2 linked regions of the Lonchura striata genome follow. The protein of the gene in region 2 purifies or fractionates together with the protein of the main gene of each other region. This does not show direct contact. Links are inferred from orthologs where the notes say so. Each region holds a gene or a part of one and is shown on either strand. Other genes may lie near its edges.

What was found.
Region 1: the proteins of MAPK6 (region 2) and CEP170 purify together in Homo sapiens (affinity purification with mass spectrometry; 3 studies listed by BioGRID and IntAct, with this or other methods). This does not show direct contact. The link is inferred for Lonchura striata from reciprocal best matches to the Homo sapiens genes MAPK6 and CEP170.

What each region holds. Positions count from the first base shown.
Region 1 is NC_134605.1:31,172,539-31,180,516, forward strand, and holds the start of CEP170 (centrosomal protein of 170 kDa), read right to left. Parts: upstream 3,106-7,978; 5' UTR 2,911-3,105; intron 2,266-2,910; coding exon of another isoform or gene 2,238-2,265; exon of another isoform or gene 1,949-2,237; intron 1-1,948. Other genes in the region: SDCCAG8 (serologically defined colon cancer antigen 8), read left to right, coding at 3,677-3,743.
Region 2 is NC_134613.1:12,692,964-12,700,013, forward strand, and holds the start of MAPK6 (mitogen-activated protein kinase 6), read right to left. Parts: upstream 3,034-7,050; 5' UTR 2,871-3,033; intron 1-2,870. UniProt on the Homo sapiens protein: Atypical MAPK protein. Phosphorylates microtubule-associated protein 2 (MAP2) and MAPKAPK5.

The sequences.
Region 1 (7,978 bases), on a different chromosome or scaffold from region 2:
AAACCAGAATTTCACAGTTTTTCTTTCCTTTCTAGTTAAAATAAAAACAATTTGTTGTATCTCAGTTCCATTCTTCCTTCAAAGCTAAGAAAAGCAGTGCTAACATGGAAACTGCCCTGTTAAGAGAATCAAGAAGATACTATGGTATACCTTCTCCCTGCAATGCCAAGAACTGGAAACTGTACAGCAAAATCAATTTTTGCAACTACTCATGCCTTGGGTTTCATTCCAGGCATTTGAGGAACAACTACAACCGAACATAGACTTTTCCAGTTCATTTTCATAAGCTGGAGCTTTTCTGGCTTGTATGTTATCAACAGAATTTTTAAGAAATTTTGCTTGTCAAGTCCATTACAGCAGATGAAAGTCAATATAGAAATAACCTTTTTTTTTTTTTTTCAAGAGTTAGACTAGATATGGGAAATAGCCATATGTCAAAACCACTCCCCAAACAATGCACTGTCATGCCAAAGTTTGGTAATGTTATGTGTAGTAAATATAATTCGCACCATTCCTTGTATGAAATATGTAATATTGGATACTTGTTAGATTATGCCTGTTTGTATTAGTCCCCCTGTCCCGTCCCCCCCCCCCTTTGCAGGCGAGACTGGGTGTATATTGGAAACTGATTTACAAGTAAAAGGACGTGGCTCGCCAGGAGATGGGCCATGTCTGGACTCCAGGTGCTGACCATCGGGACTCCAGGTGTTGATCATCGGGTACTGATCATCGCATAAGCGACCCGAGATGGATATCATGGAAATCCTCAGACAGATACATGTGAATACAGCCTTCCCGTAAATCTTATCAGGGATTCACCTACTCTGGACACTGAATTACTCCTCCTCATCACCAAAAAAGTAAAATCTTATTAACCTATGGACTCTGAATAGAAGAAAAGACTGATTGCTGAAATCTTGGCCTCAGGCAGAATTTTCCCTATAAAAACCGCTTGTGCCAGGATGGAGGTGTGTGGGCATAGGGAAAAACCTCTGCTGAGGCTGACTCCTTGTTGCACACCCAGGGCCAACCCTGGGCTCAGCACTGTCTTTTTCTGTGGCTGGCTAGATAGAATTCGACCACTTATAAAATTATTTTTATTTTTAATCTGGCTGAATAAATTCTCATTTATAACAGTAACAACTTATAAATCAGATGGTTTGTCTTCAAAAGAATTAAAGAAAGCATTTTAATCTGATCCATTTCAAGTAACTTCAAGATTCTTGAGATTTTGACAAATTCTTTGTATCCGAGCTGCACTACTATCTCTATTCAGCCAGCCTTCCTAACCTCCACCAGACAAAGGAAAAAAAAAGCCAACAAAAACAGAACACTTACATGAAGGTGAAAAAGTGTTTAAAAAAAATGATAATCTAAGAGTGAAGGGAGATTCTTTGCAGTGTTTCTGTTTAACTTTTTCCCCGTTAAATCAAATTTAAAGTTGAGGAGCTTCCATATCAGTAGAGTTCAGCAAGACAGACTTCTCAGCATCTGGACATAAAGTAATTCCCAGAGGAAATTAATCATAGGAAATCACAGCATATGCAGTCGTCTCCGTTCAGTTTACAAAAACTGTCCCATCCCACATATCATTTTGCAGACACAAGCCCAGGGCCAAGAACGCTGTCACAAAGCCTTGAATGGCATTCCAAAGGAGAAAAGATGATCATTGCAGCGCCAGAGCAGGCTTTATTCTTTCAAAGTACTTAAATATTTTATGAGTACCTTTGCTTTCACAGGGAAGAAAATAATTTCCTCCAAGTGCAGATCAGCGGATGCTATCTAATCCCTTGTCACAATAAAGCAATCCTTATGTACACACAACTCATCAGCATACCATCTACGTCTCTTTTTTTCCCACCAAGCCGCGAGCATTGGTGGGCTAATTGTCGGCTTATGCTGAAAAAGCGCTCAGAACGCGGCCGCCCGCGCCGGGAGCAGCGCTCGCCGTGCCCGCCCGGCTCCCGGCGCGGACGGCCCCGCTGCCCGCGGAGCGTCCCCGCCCCTCCCGCCCGCTTCCTCCGCTGCGACGCCGCTTTCTGCTCGAAAATCGCCATCGGGTTTTTGTTAGCGCAGTAACCCGTTCGTCTCCACGGCGGGCACACAAAGTGGGCCCGGGCTGCTCCTCGCCACTGGGACAAAAACCTCGATTTCATGTTTTTCCCGGGAAGCGCCTCGAAAAAGGAAAAGCTCACGCCTTCGGGAGGATATTTTCGGAAGCAGGGGACCCGACTCGTATGGTGGAAATACGCAATATGAGAAAAGGTGAAACCCACAGTTTTTCTCCATCATCCTTTCACAGAAGACATTATTTCAAGGAGACGAAGGGAAACGCCGCATCCCAGACGAAGGACGTCACTGATTTTTAAATCCGGAGAAACACGCTGCCTCCAGCCCCGGGGAGGGAGCGAAAGAAGGTCACCCCCCAAAAAAAATTAAACCTCTGGAAACGTCTCCGCTGGAATCGCGGAAATCCACCCGCGGGAGGGGGGGCTGCGCAGCCCCGGGGCTGGGTGGGTGGGTGTGCCGAGGCGCCCCGCGGGCGGAAAGGGGCAGGGAGACGCGGGCAGCGGGATCCAGCAGCACCAAATGCCAGACGTGGGATGCCGTCCGCGTCCCGCCCGAGGCGATGACCCCCCGCCACCGGCGATCCCCCCGCGCTGACGAGGGGAAAGGGAGGCGGGGGCGCGGAGTAACCTGCGGGCCGGGCGGGGACAGGGGAGGGGGAGCGAGCTGCGCACAGACCGTGTTACCTCCCCCTCCGCCGGCCGCAGCCCGCCCGGGTCCCGGCGGGCGGTACCTCCTGACACAATAGGCACCGGACGGACCGCGGCGCGACCGTAGCCCCTCTCCCCGCCGCGGCTCCCGCCCGACCCGCAGGGCGGCGGCGGCAGCATCATCCTCACTCACCCCTCCGAGGAGGCTCGCGCGCCGGGGAGGGGCCGTCGCTAGCGGGTGCTCAGCGAGCCGGCATCCCGCGGGATGCGAAGCGAGGGCGGAGCGCTCGGTGTCCCTCTGGCAACGGCCCCGGCGTTATTCCCTGCACATAGCGGCGGCTAACGGCACAGCGGCGCGGCACCGCGCCGCACTGCGCACGCGCCGGGGCCGAGCGGCCGGCGGGGCCGCGCTGCGCCTGCGCGGCCCGCAGACAATAGCGTTCCCCGAGCTGCGGGCGCTCCCCGCGCGGGCGATGGCGGGAGGTAAACGGCGCTTCCCGCCCCGATCCGCCCCTGCCGTGCCGGGACCGGTGCTGAGCTCGCTGCAGGCCTGAGGGCGTAGGCGGGCGGGCTGTGCTGTGCGCAGGCGCGACTGCGACCGCGATCCACAACAAAGGGGATACGGCTCGCGGCGACCACCCTTTCCCGGTTGCCGGTGGTGGGCGGTGGGCGGGAACTCTGCCGCCGGCGGCGCGGTGCATGCCGGGACTTGTAGTCCTGGCGGAGGCATTCCCGCCATCGGGAAGCGCGACGGATTCCTGGCGTTGCTAGTTTCAGCTGCGGCGGCCGACGGCAACGGTTGGCCACCAGGAGCCGGAGGGACCCCCGCAGATGTCTCCTCCGAGAGCTCAACGTGGGAAGGTAGAACGGGTGGAACTACTGTCCCGCAGCCTCCCCGCGGGGAGCCCCCGGTGCTGGGAGACAGCGCCGGCTGCTGCCCGGCAGCCAGCGGCGTCCTGATGCGGGCGCCCCGCGGGGAGCGCGCCCTGGAGGAGTCCCTGGAGCGATACCAGAGGCGCCTCCGAGGTGAGCGGCACGGGCGCGGGGCGAGGCCGGGCTGCCCCAGCCGCCGCCCGGGACCGAGGAGCGCCCGGGCCGGGCTGGGACGAGCGCGCAGCGGGGAAGTTGGGCTGGTTGTCCCCACCCCCGATCACAGGCGCTGTGACACGCGCTCGTGTCACCGTAACGCTCCTCGGGCAGGACCGCTGCTGCTTCGGGTGCGGTTTTCGTGGTAAAGATGAGTGTACAAATGGACTCTAATGAGAGTGGTTGTTTCCCATATCATTGAGTGTTTTCATACCTGACACTTTGTCCAAGAAGCGTGGTGTATAGCCTGACAGAGAGCACCTGAATCTGTCAGCCGTGACACCTAGGCTTACCAGCCTTCACACTGTCACTGACTGGGCAAAGGCAAATGTCCAAATTCTGAAGAAAGCCAGTGGATAGTTTGTGGGTATGTGAACCTACTGGTGTGAAAAGTTGTGTTCTGAGCACAGTACCCCAATATGGCATGTTGGGATGTTTCCTGTGCCATAAAAAACAACATTGCAAAAAAGAAGAAAGAAACAATAGAAACATTTTCAAATAGCTACTTGATTCTCAGCAAATCTTTTTTTACTTCCATCTCAAAGGAGCATCAGTTCCTTATATTAGCGATAGATCTCTTCTGTTCCACAAGATAGAACTTTAAGGAATAATTTCTATCTACTTCTCCTGTAGATGAAATGGACATGGTAATGCTACTTGACACTTGCAGTTAACAGTTATCGCAGAACAGTTAGAATGACTAATATCAGGGTTGTTTAACTGTGTGTGAGCCTATTAGAGCTGACTGTATCTAATGGATACATTGGATGCATGTATTCTCTTCATACAACTTATTTTCATTTTTTTTTCTGACTGGATCTCCTTACACTGGATCCATTATATGTGTTAAATAAATTCATAACCTGAATTTCTGGTGAGCCTTTCCCCTTTACATTCTTGGACACAAGAATTTTCTTTCCATACAATGCCAAGGTAGTTTTGATCTCATGCATCTCGGGGTGCCTCTCATGTAGAAATCGATATGGTGATGCACAAACAGCCCCAATACAGGGCGATATAACTCAAGTTTTGTGGTGTTTCTCAAAGAACCTCTTTATTTCTCAGTGATGTGCAATTTTAACTCCTTTAAGCTGTACAGCATTTTCCACATCATTACTAGCAGTGTTAGGAATTCACTGTAGGATAAACATCATCGTTACTCTCAAAGCTGTCAAATCTAATGCTTTACCTATTTCTCTTATATAGTTATACAACTTGAGATTTTTGTCCCCATTGGGATGACCCTGTCATCCAGGTTCTGCAATTTTACGTGGCATGCTTTGGGCATTATTTGATGCTTTTGAAATAATGTAATGCTTGACATTATCTGGATGCAGGCCGAGCTCATAGCAACGGCTTTTCACCACCCATGCAGGATACCAGAAGAATCACTTTACTGCCTTACTCAGTTTGATGGAAGGGTGCTTAAGTTCTCAAAGAGCAGCTGATTATTTCAGGGCAATGTCCTTTGTTGCAAAGGGAAATCCCTCAGAAGATGGGGAGCCTGAGTGTTCAGTAAACTGAGTCTGATTGCCAGAGGGCAGAAAGCTGGACCAAAAAATCCTGATTAAGACCTACCTGGTCTTAGAGCTTAAAAGATAGGCTTTGATAAATAACAAAGGTTCTATAATGTAGTTTTTCCTGACCTTGTATAATGAAAGTCTTTAATGCTATGTGTAACTCTAACTCAAGAGGGTGGTATTTGTACAGTTGGGGTTATTAGGTTACTGCATAAACTTTCATATAATTGAGACCATTTCAAATGAACCTTAAAAACTTTAGGAGATTATATTTCTAATAAAAAGTCTTCTCAAGGGAGTAGAAGTATTTTCTAAATGATAATAAGTGGTGTGTTGCTGTATTCGTGTTAATAACTGAAAATTGACAGGTATAGTGTAAATGTCCAATGGCCCTTCTACTATACCACTGCCAAGAAAAGAGCATGATGCCTTCCTGTGACTTTCCCCTTTTCTCCTAACAGCAGTAAATTGTGAAGGCTGTTTAGAGTCCAGTTCTTTCTTGAACAGAGAACTATTAGCTTATACTTTTATGTTGAGTTTTCTGCCTCTTGAGTGAAGAACGCTCACTCACTGTTGGACCTGAGCCATTATAAGTGCAGGAACAAAGGTGGGGCAAGCAATCCTTTTTAGGTACTGAGCCTGATACACTTGTCTATCTCAAGTCTGTCTTAGGGTATTGTGAAAATTACATTCTGTATTCCACTGCATTGCTGAGTGCAGTGTCCTACTACATAATTTCAGAGAATGGAGATACCAACCCTAAGAGAAACAGATGACAAGATAAGACTTTTTGGAATAAAGTTTCATTTTGTGGCTGTTCTTTGTTATTCCAAAAATAAAACAGGAGAGATGGGAAGTCAAAGCCATCTTATGTGGCCCAGTTTCTATCACTACAAATTAGCTGTCATACTGAAGCAGCTTAGAAATACATTCTTAATGATTTTTTGCTTAGGCTTTTATTTTTGTTTGGCAGGTGTTTCTAGGTATTCTTCCGAACATAAAATGTTCTTTTAAAGGTGGAGAATCTGCCACAAGGAACTTGGCAATGAGGTTTTCGTATATGAGGGTTTCTAGAACTTAGGCAAATGCTTTATGCTCTGCAGAAAGGGCTGGTGTAGGAACTTGTAACAATGACTGCTGTAACAGTGCTTTTAAATATAATAGCTTGGTAAAAGTTATGCTGAAAACTACCTATTTCTCATATAAAAAGAGACCAAGAATGTCGCTATAGGACACAAGAAAGCACAACACGAGCCACTACGATGACAAGGTAAAAAAGAAGAGGGTTTATTTTTCTGACTCCAACTTTTATACTTTTCCAAAGGTGACAGTGGATTGGAGAGTGAATGGGCCACCTCTCCAAAGACATTGAACAAACCACCAGTACATCAACTTCCTCCACTCCCACGAAGGAATGCAAAACAATATGTTGTTTATAGAAAATGTGTGGGAAAGTTTTCTAACAGAATGTAAACTCAGAAGGCTTTAGAAAATCTTAAGAATCAGGGTGACACAAGAAACCAAATCAGAAGGATTTATTACTTTGGAACAGCTGTGCATTTCACATATCGGGATCTTTTGAGGCCTGACTGATGAACAGGCTGGTCTTGCTCATTGCTGCATGTAAAATCCTAGCAGTACAGGTAGTGATAGACAGGATATTTTTAGTCTCAAAACTCCCATATAATGTGCTACTTTCCTGGTAGCATACCTGCGTTTGGCAGCCAATAAAGAATGGAATGAAAAGCTGGATGTCAGAATGGGAAGTAAAGTAAGTTCCAAGATGTTCTAAACACAAAAAACCCTATAACCAAATTCTCAGTTTCAGTATTTTTCAGCAGTTACTTGACTGAAAGATATATGGTATAATATTTTAGATTTTTAGCTGTCAATGGAAGAAAGTTGATCTCATTTTGGACATGAATTTTTTTTAAAATGGCTATGATCTTTTTGCTTTCACTAGTGTGTCTATCTGTTTTGTCAGTTACTGTTTCACAAAAATTTTACAGTGGTTTGCTTTGCGTTTTTTTAAGACATAAAGAATCAGTGTGATTCCTTCTCTAATTTTCTAAGGCTGTTTGCTGATTGGGAACCATGAGATATCAGCAAGTGATGCTTGTTTGTTGAATTTATAGCCAGTAATTTCATGTTCTTGTAGACATTATTAGAACTGGACTGTTAGGTTTGGGTGACAGACTTATGATAACTTTTTCATGGAATTGCCGTTTGTTTTCTTCAGTGTATGCTGCTTAATGATTCTAGCAGCTGGAGTTATTTTCCATGTCTTTCAGGCAATTCTGTTGTTTTGGATGATTGATTCTTTTGCTCCCAGAGTATTTTCTATGGCATTTCCAAGTCCATGAATGAGGTAGCTTTGGTGCTTTCATTTAAAGGAGTACTCTTTAGAAAGAGTGCTGTGCAGTGCCTGAGAAAACATCTCTTGTTTGGGCAATGCTAAACAAGTTCAGCGCCTTCTGGGTTTTTTTCCTGTTTTGACTTCAATGGCAAATTGTTTTTACACTGATTTTTTTTTTTTTAATTTATTGAGTTTGATCCATCAAATTTGGGTGCTAGCTTGTCATTTTTTCATAATTATCTCAGATCCTTTAAACACTGAAAACCAAAGGGCTTAATAGTAAAGTTTTTTTTTTGAAG
Region 2 (7,050 bases):
TCTGGTGTCCTGGTGCAGAGCCCACGCTGCTCAGTGCAGCTCTGCAGGCTGTGGGACAGCCAGCACCAGGGCAGGCAGGGCACACAGAGAAACAGCGGGACCTGGGGGAATGCAACAGTGAGGGAGGTGAGAGGCTCAGTGTTTGAATGATCTCCATCATCAACTTCTCTATAATCTCAGGTTTTGGCTGTTGGAGAGATGGCCAGAAACTACATGTGACTGTGTGCAGGGGATGAGGAGAATGTTAACTCTAGCCCAGCTTTCTGATGGTTACAGAGGCTGTAATTTCATTTTCTTTCCATTGTATCCTATGTGAAAAGCATTCAGAGTCATGCCGCACCCCCTAAATCCTATTAAGAAAAACCAGACCTCGTAAAGCTGTTTTCCAGCATGCTGAATTCAGGTTTTGTGGCTCTGTTTGACAGTTTTCCATTAACTCCCAACCGAGCAGAGGCAACCAGGCCACTGAACAGCAGCAGAGCAGGACTCCTTGCCCAGGTGCCTTGCCTGGCTTGGATGTACATCTCAGAGCCCCCTCCCCAGCCTCAGCAGAGGCTGTCCCACCCCTCTGCCACTCAGCAGCAGCCAGGGGCAAGCAGGACCCCTCGAGGGGAGCCAGCTCATCCCAGCCCTCCTGCTGCAGGGGTTGATGCTGCAGCACATCTGAGGCCACCCAGTGCCACGCCACTGTCACCTGTGGGACAGGCACTGCTGCAGGAGGGACTGGCTCACCTGCAGCAGCAGCACGGACTGTCTGGAGCCCTCCAGCATCATACTGGCTGCCGTGCAGGCAGAATCCAGGAAATACTTCCCCAAACCCACCCTTGTGCTGTTTAAAACAAGCTTTTATTTATGCTGCTGCTGGTGAAATATACCTGAGAATCTATGTAAATGTACAGAAAATAACCTGAGTCTCCAGTCTACCTTCACTTGTATTTTTCTTGAAGCTCTGAGGCTCCTCTCCCTCTTCAGAGCAAACACAGCATTTGCAGGAGTAAATCTGCACTTATGTAAGTTTCTGAGAATGCCAAGTTGAAAGTCTGACAGAAGAAAAACTTCTGGTATAAACCTATTTTTTTTTGTGTTTTCAAGAGATCTAATCTATCTTCTGTGCATTCCTGACCTTCAGAAAGCATTTTCATCTCACACGTTAAGTATAACAATCCTCTTAACAGGGAACATTTTGTTAGAGCTTTAAATTGGGTTACGTCAATTATTTGTAGTTCTGACAGCAGGTTTCTCTTCCGTCCACGAGGACACTTGTTATGAGCTTGCTACAAGGTTCATTTGCAATCACTGCAGATAATCATCTGAGGGAACTGTTTGAAAGGAGATTTTATCCGGGGCATATGCTGCGAGTTTGTCAAGGCTTTTTATAAAAGCAGCGTTTTTGCCAAATAATTTGCAGTACAGTAACATGCATGAGAATTAAGACATCCCTGATGGGGATGGTAAACTGAGTGAACAAAAGTTTTTCTAACTTTAACAAACTTTAGGAGGTACAGAACACAAAGGGAAAAAACCCAAAAATATATATGTATATAGGTGGTACTGAGCATGTCTCAATTCATGGTTTTACTTTTGTTGACTGCAGTAGGAATTGTAAACAGTCGAGATGAGGCTCTTTGTTCACACTAAGTACTTGTTCAGGAAAAAAGCAGTAGAGAAAATATTCAGAAGTTACAGCACTACTTTTGGGGTTGTATCAGAGCAGCCAGTGATTTAGAAACAGTTTGCAGTACCCTCTTTTCATTATTTCTTTTCCCCAGCCCCTAGACAGGCACAGGTTGGCCACTGGTTGTGAATGGGCAGAGTTCTCTGGCAGCAGAGCTCTCCTGCCTCCCTTTCTCTTGTCACTGGTAAGGCTGATTGGGGAAAAAAAGTTTCTACTGATTTCATCACGGGTGGGAAAAGAAAGGCATAATTTATAAATTTGGACTGATATTTAGGTTTCCTATTATATTTAAGAGCTTGTAACAACATCCCCCTCCCCAGTAAAGCAATAAAACAATATTTTATTAAAATTGAAAGTATTTTGTTTGGCTTTAAGAACAATGATGTACTAAAACAAAATTTTAAAATTAAACCTTTCAAATGAAAATATAGACATGTAATTTTTAAGAATTTTTAAGAGCATTTCAGATTTTTTTTCCGTAAGCAACAACAGCAAAGAGTTTCATCCCAAGCTAAATACAAGCCAGTCCAGTAAATCTGATTTCTACACTCCTGCTGGCATTACATTCTCCACAACAGTGGTGCAGAAACCAACAAACCCTTCTGCAACATCAGAGTACCCCAAGGAGCCACAATTTCAATGGAGGAGAAAACCTGTGTGTCTGTAAACCACACATACACAAACACAAGACCCGTGCAAAAAGGTACTCAGCAGTTTTTCCCACAAAACTTAACATCTGCTAACATTTCCAAATCTGCCCAGGAATGCTTTTTTGGTATTTCCAATTGCATTGAGCTAACTGGTGGTGTTTTATCTTTCTCTCCCCTTCTTTTTCTATGCCAAACATTTCTTTTCAGCAGTCTACACAGAGTTGTCTCATGGTTTTATTAGCAGTCTTTCTTAAAATACCTTATCTACAGAGAACGCAATGTATTAGGGCTTCTAGGGACAATGTTAGCTATTTCTATGAATTATCTAGAGACACTAGCTGATTAATATGAAATTATTTTATTTCTATAAAAGACAATATATATATATATATATATATATATATATATATAATAAATATATTATTTTGGCAATTCTCAAAGAGAAAGAGATGTTTCTAAGTGTTAGTTAGAAAGATTCATCTTTACACTTCTTTCTCTCTAAAAAACAGATCTCATGGGAGAATACACACAGACATTTAACTTACCATTACTGCAGCTATCTTTTGAATTCCTCAGTATCATTAATATTTAGTAGAAAGAACAGAACAAGCAATTATCGTAAAGATACCACACCAGAACTAACAAAGTGATTTTTAAAGAGTCATCCAGAAGAAGTGAGAAGGTCAACCAGAAAACACGAGTCAGGAATAGCTGTGCTCCAATGAGGAGGGGAAGGTTATGTTGCTGTGATATGAGTAGTGCACAGCTGTTACTCTAGTAATAATTCATCATATTAATATTTAAATGAGAGGAGGAGGAGGAAGAAGAGGGCATGAGATTGTGTGTGACTCAATGGTCCCTCCCTGTCCTCAAGCAGAAAATAGGCCACCAATAGAGAAAGAGCATTAAGAGCTGCAGAGTGGGAAGGTTTGTTTTCACTACCTCATGAATAAAAGTGGACAAACTGGTCCCTGAAGAAGTCTAGAAATTATCCTGCTTTTATTGCAGCAAGTGAAATTCTGTTTATAGTCTCAGGAGCAGCCATTGCCTAATGAACAAATTGATGTAGCAACCAGGTCTGCACGTGGTGCTTCTTGGATTTCAGTGTATTTCCAGCAAGCCTCTACACTTCCTCCAAGGAGCTGCCTGCAGGAGTCTGGCCTGGCAGTCCCTCACAGGGAATTGCTGAACTGCTGCCCGTTACCTAAAGACACATTTATAAAACCATTTCTGTATGAGGGCTACCTCACCTGCAGGCTGGCTGCAGTGCCTGGGCCCATGGGGGCCTCTGGCTGGGCAGCTCAGGGGAGAGAGGAGGAGCAGGGATGCAGGGATGGCTGGGGGGCTGTGAGGAGCAGGGATGGCTGGGGGGCTGTGAGGATTGTGAGGAGCAGGGATGCAGGGATGGCTGGGGGGCTGTGAGGATTGTGAGGAGCAGAGCCTTGGGGAGTGCTGGAGGTGGAGCAGCAGCACCCAGCAACAGCAGGCTCAGCCCGAGGTGCAGGGCTGAGGAAACAGCTGATGTAGGCATAACCAGACAGATGTGGGTGGCATCCCTGGCAGGAGAGGCAGCCTGACTACACTTGGTTGCATATAGGGTTGCACAACTTTATCCAACAATTCAATATAAAGCCACCTCTCACATGCTGGGTTTTGGGAGGCTGGGATTTTCTTTTGAACACTGTACAACTCCCTCCTCTTTGTTAGCAGAAGTGTTACTGTGATAGCCCTGGCTGAGCATTGCTTTGTTGGCTGTATAACTCTAAAAAGGTAATAAGCAACCATTTAACCAGGAGCAGATATGGACTCACAGAAATGGCCGTGAGGCTAAATAAAAAATAGTTCGTAACAGAACAAATCCACAGAAAAGCATTTGGTTTAGTGCTTGGCATGAAAATACAAGGTACACAAAGTACAACATTAGGAGATGCCAAACTCATGCTGTAACATCAGTTCTCAGCACACCAAATTCTTCCTCAGAAATTTTCTATTTTTTCCTATCCAAGCAAAGATGTTCCTCCCTCCTTTCACTTTGTTAGCTTAATCCTTTATGAACAAGTTTGCAAACAACCTGAGTTAACATTGGTATTTTTAGCTGACTGTTAGGAAGACTTCATTTACTGTATCCTGTACAAAATTATTTGTTATTAATGCACTGCAGAAAACACCACTCATCAGATCATCTCCATATCCATTGTCAGTATCCCAGCAAAGTAACATTTAAAACTGGTCCTCATGACTTGCTCCAAAGGTTTATCATGAAAGTGAATCAGGCCCCTGGACATGTTGTAGGACTGCAGCATATTGATTTAGGCTGCTTTCAAAAAGTAGATGGCAAGGGTCTGCAGGACGATACCTCTTCTCTGCTTTAGTAATTACACATTAGCTTGCAGGGATTTGGTTCTTCCTTCTTGGATTTTGGAAGTGCTGGAGGAAGAGACCACCCATACTGGTTTAATCCCTGGCAGAGCCCTCCCTCCAGCTCCACCACTGCTCCTGCTTCATGGGTAGGACAGATACATGAGGCTGGAATTAACCACCTAATGCACCTACGCTGCTGTTTCACTTTAATTCAGAAGAAAAAAAAAAACATGGACAAAGGCAAAAAAATTCTTTGCAACCACTGAATAGCTAATTGAAGGCAAATGTGTCATGGAAGATAAACATTTTCAGGTACAGATTGGGCCAGCTGACAGATTTAATAGCTTCCATAAAACAGCAGATTGCAACAGTTTTTACAACTGTCTTTATAGGCAACCATCAATTTCCATCTGGACTTGGTGGCTACCAGATCAGTGTGCTGTGTTTGAGGAGATGCAGAAGGCCAGGCTCAGATTTTCTCTTCTTTCAGTGACAGAAGTTGTCAGTTTAATCCAAACCCATGGTCTTGATTCAGAAGAGGCTATAGCCTCTGGTGATGCGTACATTTGAGGTTAAGTTTTTTCAGGCTTTGTCTAATGCCTGCTCAAATGCCCCACAATTCCAGCCTATGCTCTTATTTAAAAGGGGAAAACTAAACAAAGGCAAATTCATGCTTGCCCTGGGAACAGAGGGGTCAATGTGAAGAGCCATGCTGACACCACAATCCCCAAACCCTCAGCAGATGCAAATTCTAATTGAATTAGCATGTGTTAAAGATGCAAATGGCTGAGTGCAGCCCTGGCAGGGTCAACACAGCCTACATCTGTGCCCAATTTTTCCTTAACCAAGCCTCCATGGCTTGGTCTTCCTAGTTGAAAGCGGGCAGTTGAGCTTTTCCAGGGCCACACAAGGGGACAAACTCCCCTCTGGCTCTGCCAGGGCCACGTGGTCCACTTGAGATATTAACAAATGCTCTCCGAAGTGCTGTGACTAATTTAGATCCCAAGTAACAGCAGCAAAGCTTACTTAGTTATTTAACAGTCAAAAGAGAGGGGTAGGCTTTTTGTAGTCTAAACTTTATGAAGTGATAAAGATCTATTAATCATCTAGCATGCAGTTTATCTACTGACAAATAGGATTAAAAATAGAGCAGGTAGTTTCGGCTCCTTGTTTTTTTGTTTTTTTTTTTTTTTTTTCTTCTTAATTGGCATGAGAACAGCAAGCTGGAAGGTGAGGAAAAAGAAGGTTGCTGAGGATGCTGAGCACAAAGCTATGGCTGATCTGCAACCAGAGCTCTCTCAATTATTTTCTCTCCCTGATGAGGCCAGATCTTAGGTACCCTTGAGTGGCCCTTTTCTGTAATAAGGATCTCAGTATTTGGCCTATTCATATTTTTAATTTCATTTCTCTGCACTTGGTCCAGGAAATCACGAGGCTTGTCTTGGCATTTTACCACAGGAATCAATGCAGAGAATTCTTCCTTTTAAGTGCTTGGCTCTGCCTCAAGAGTTTTTTAATCTTTCCTTTCCTAAATGTAATTGATTGACAGGGAGTGTGCATCCCTGGGTCAGTTTTCAACTCATGTTCCTAATAGATTAACTTGAAAAAAATACAGTTTCACAAAGAATTTTCCTTGGGACAGTCTGAAAACCCTTCTTGTCAATAAATAATTCCTACCAAGTGAAACACTGACAGAGCTATGCTGCTCAGCTAAGGATACTGTGAAACATTAACCTCCTTCTCTGTCCCATGGTGGCAGAGACTGTGTTTTGCTGCTTTGTGACCTGTGACTGACCTCACCATGAACTCCCAGATTTCAGGAACACCTCCTTGAAGTTTGAGATTGTGTTGGCACCTATATTTAAAGAAGCAGATGGGAAACAGAAGCTTTCATTTCTTCCTTGTCTCTACTGAGCATTATGTACAGTGGGAGTGGGTCAGATAGTGCCAGGACCACTGTTCCTCCTCCAGGACACAAATTTGTTCCCGCTGCTGCTGGACAGGAACCATGACACTAGAGATGCCAGGGCTGTCAATCCATGGAGCTCCAGGACCTTGTGATAAATTCCTGAGGGTACCAGAGGGTGAGAAGCTCTGGGAGACGCCTCCACACTCCAATAACCCCAAGAGAGGGTGTGCCCAGAAGATCATGGGTGACACCAGAGCAGCACGGGGACAGGAGCCACCTCACCAGAATCCTGATTGACACCTGTGCCTCTGGCTCTTCCTATCCAGCCTCGCCCCTGCACTGAGTAACATCTCTACACCCACACTTCTCCACACCCACAATTCTCTCTCCTTCACCCTGGCAGTGCTGGCAATCCAACAGCCTGTTCACTGCTGTTCGCAGCCCAGAAAGGGAAG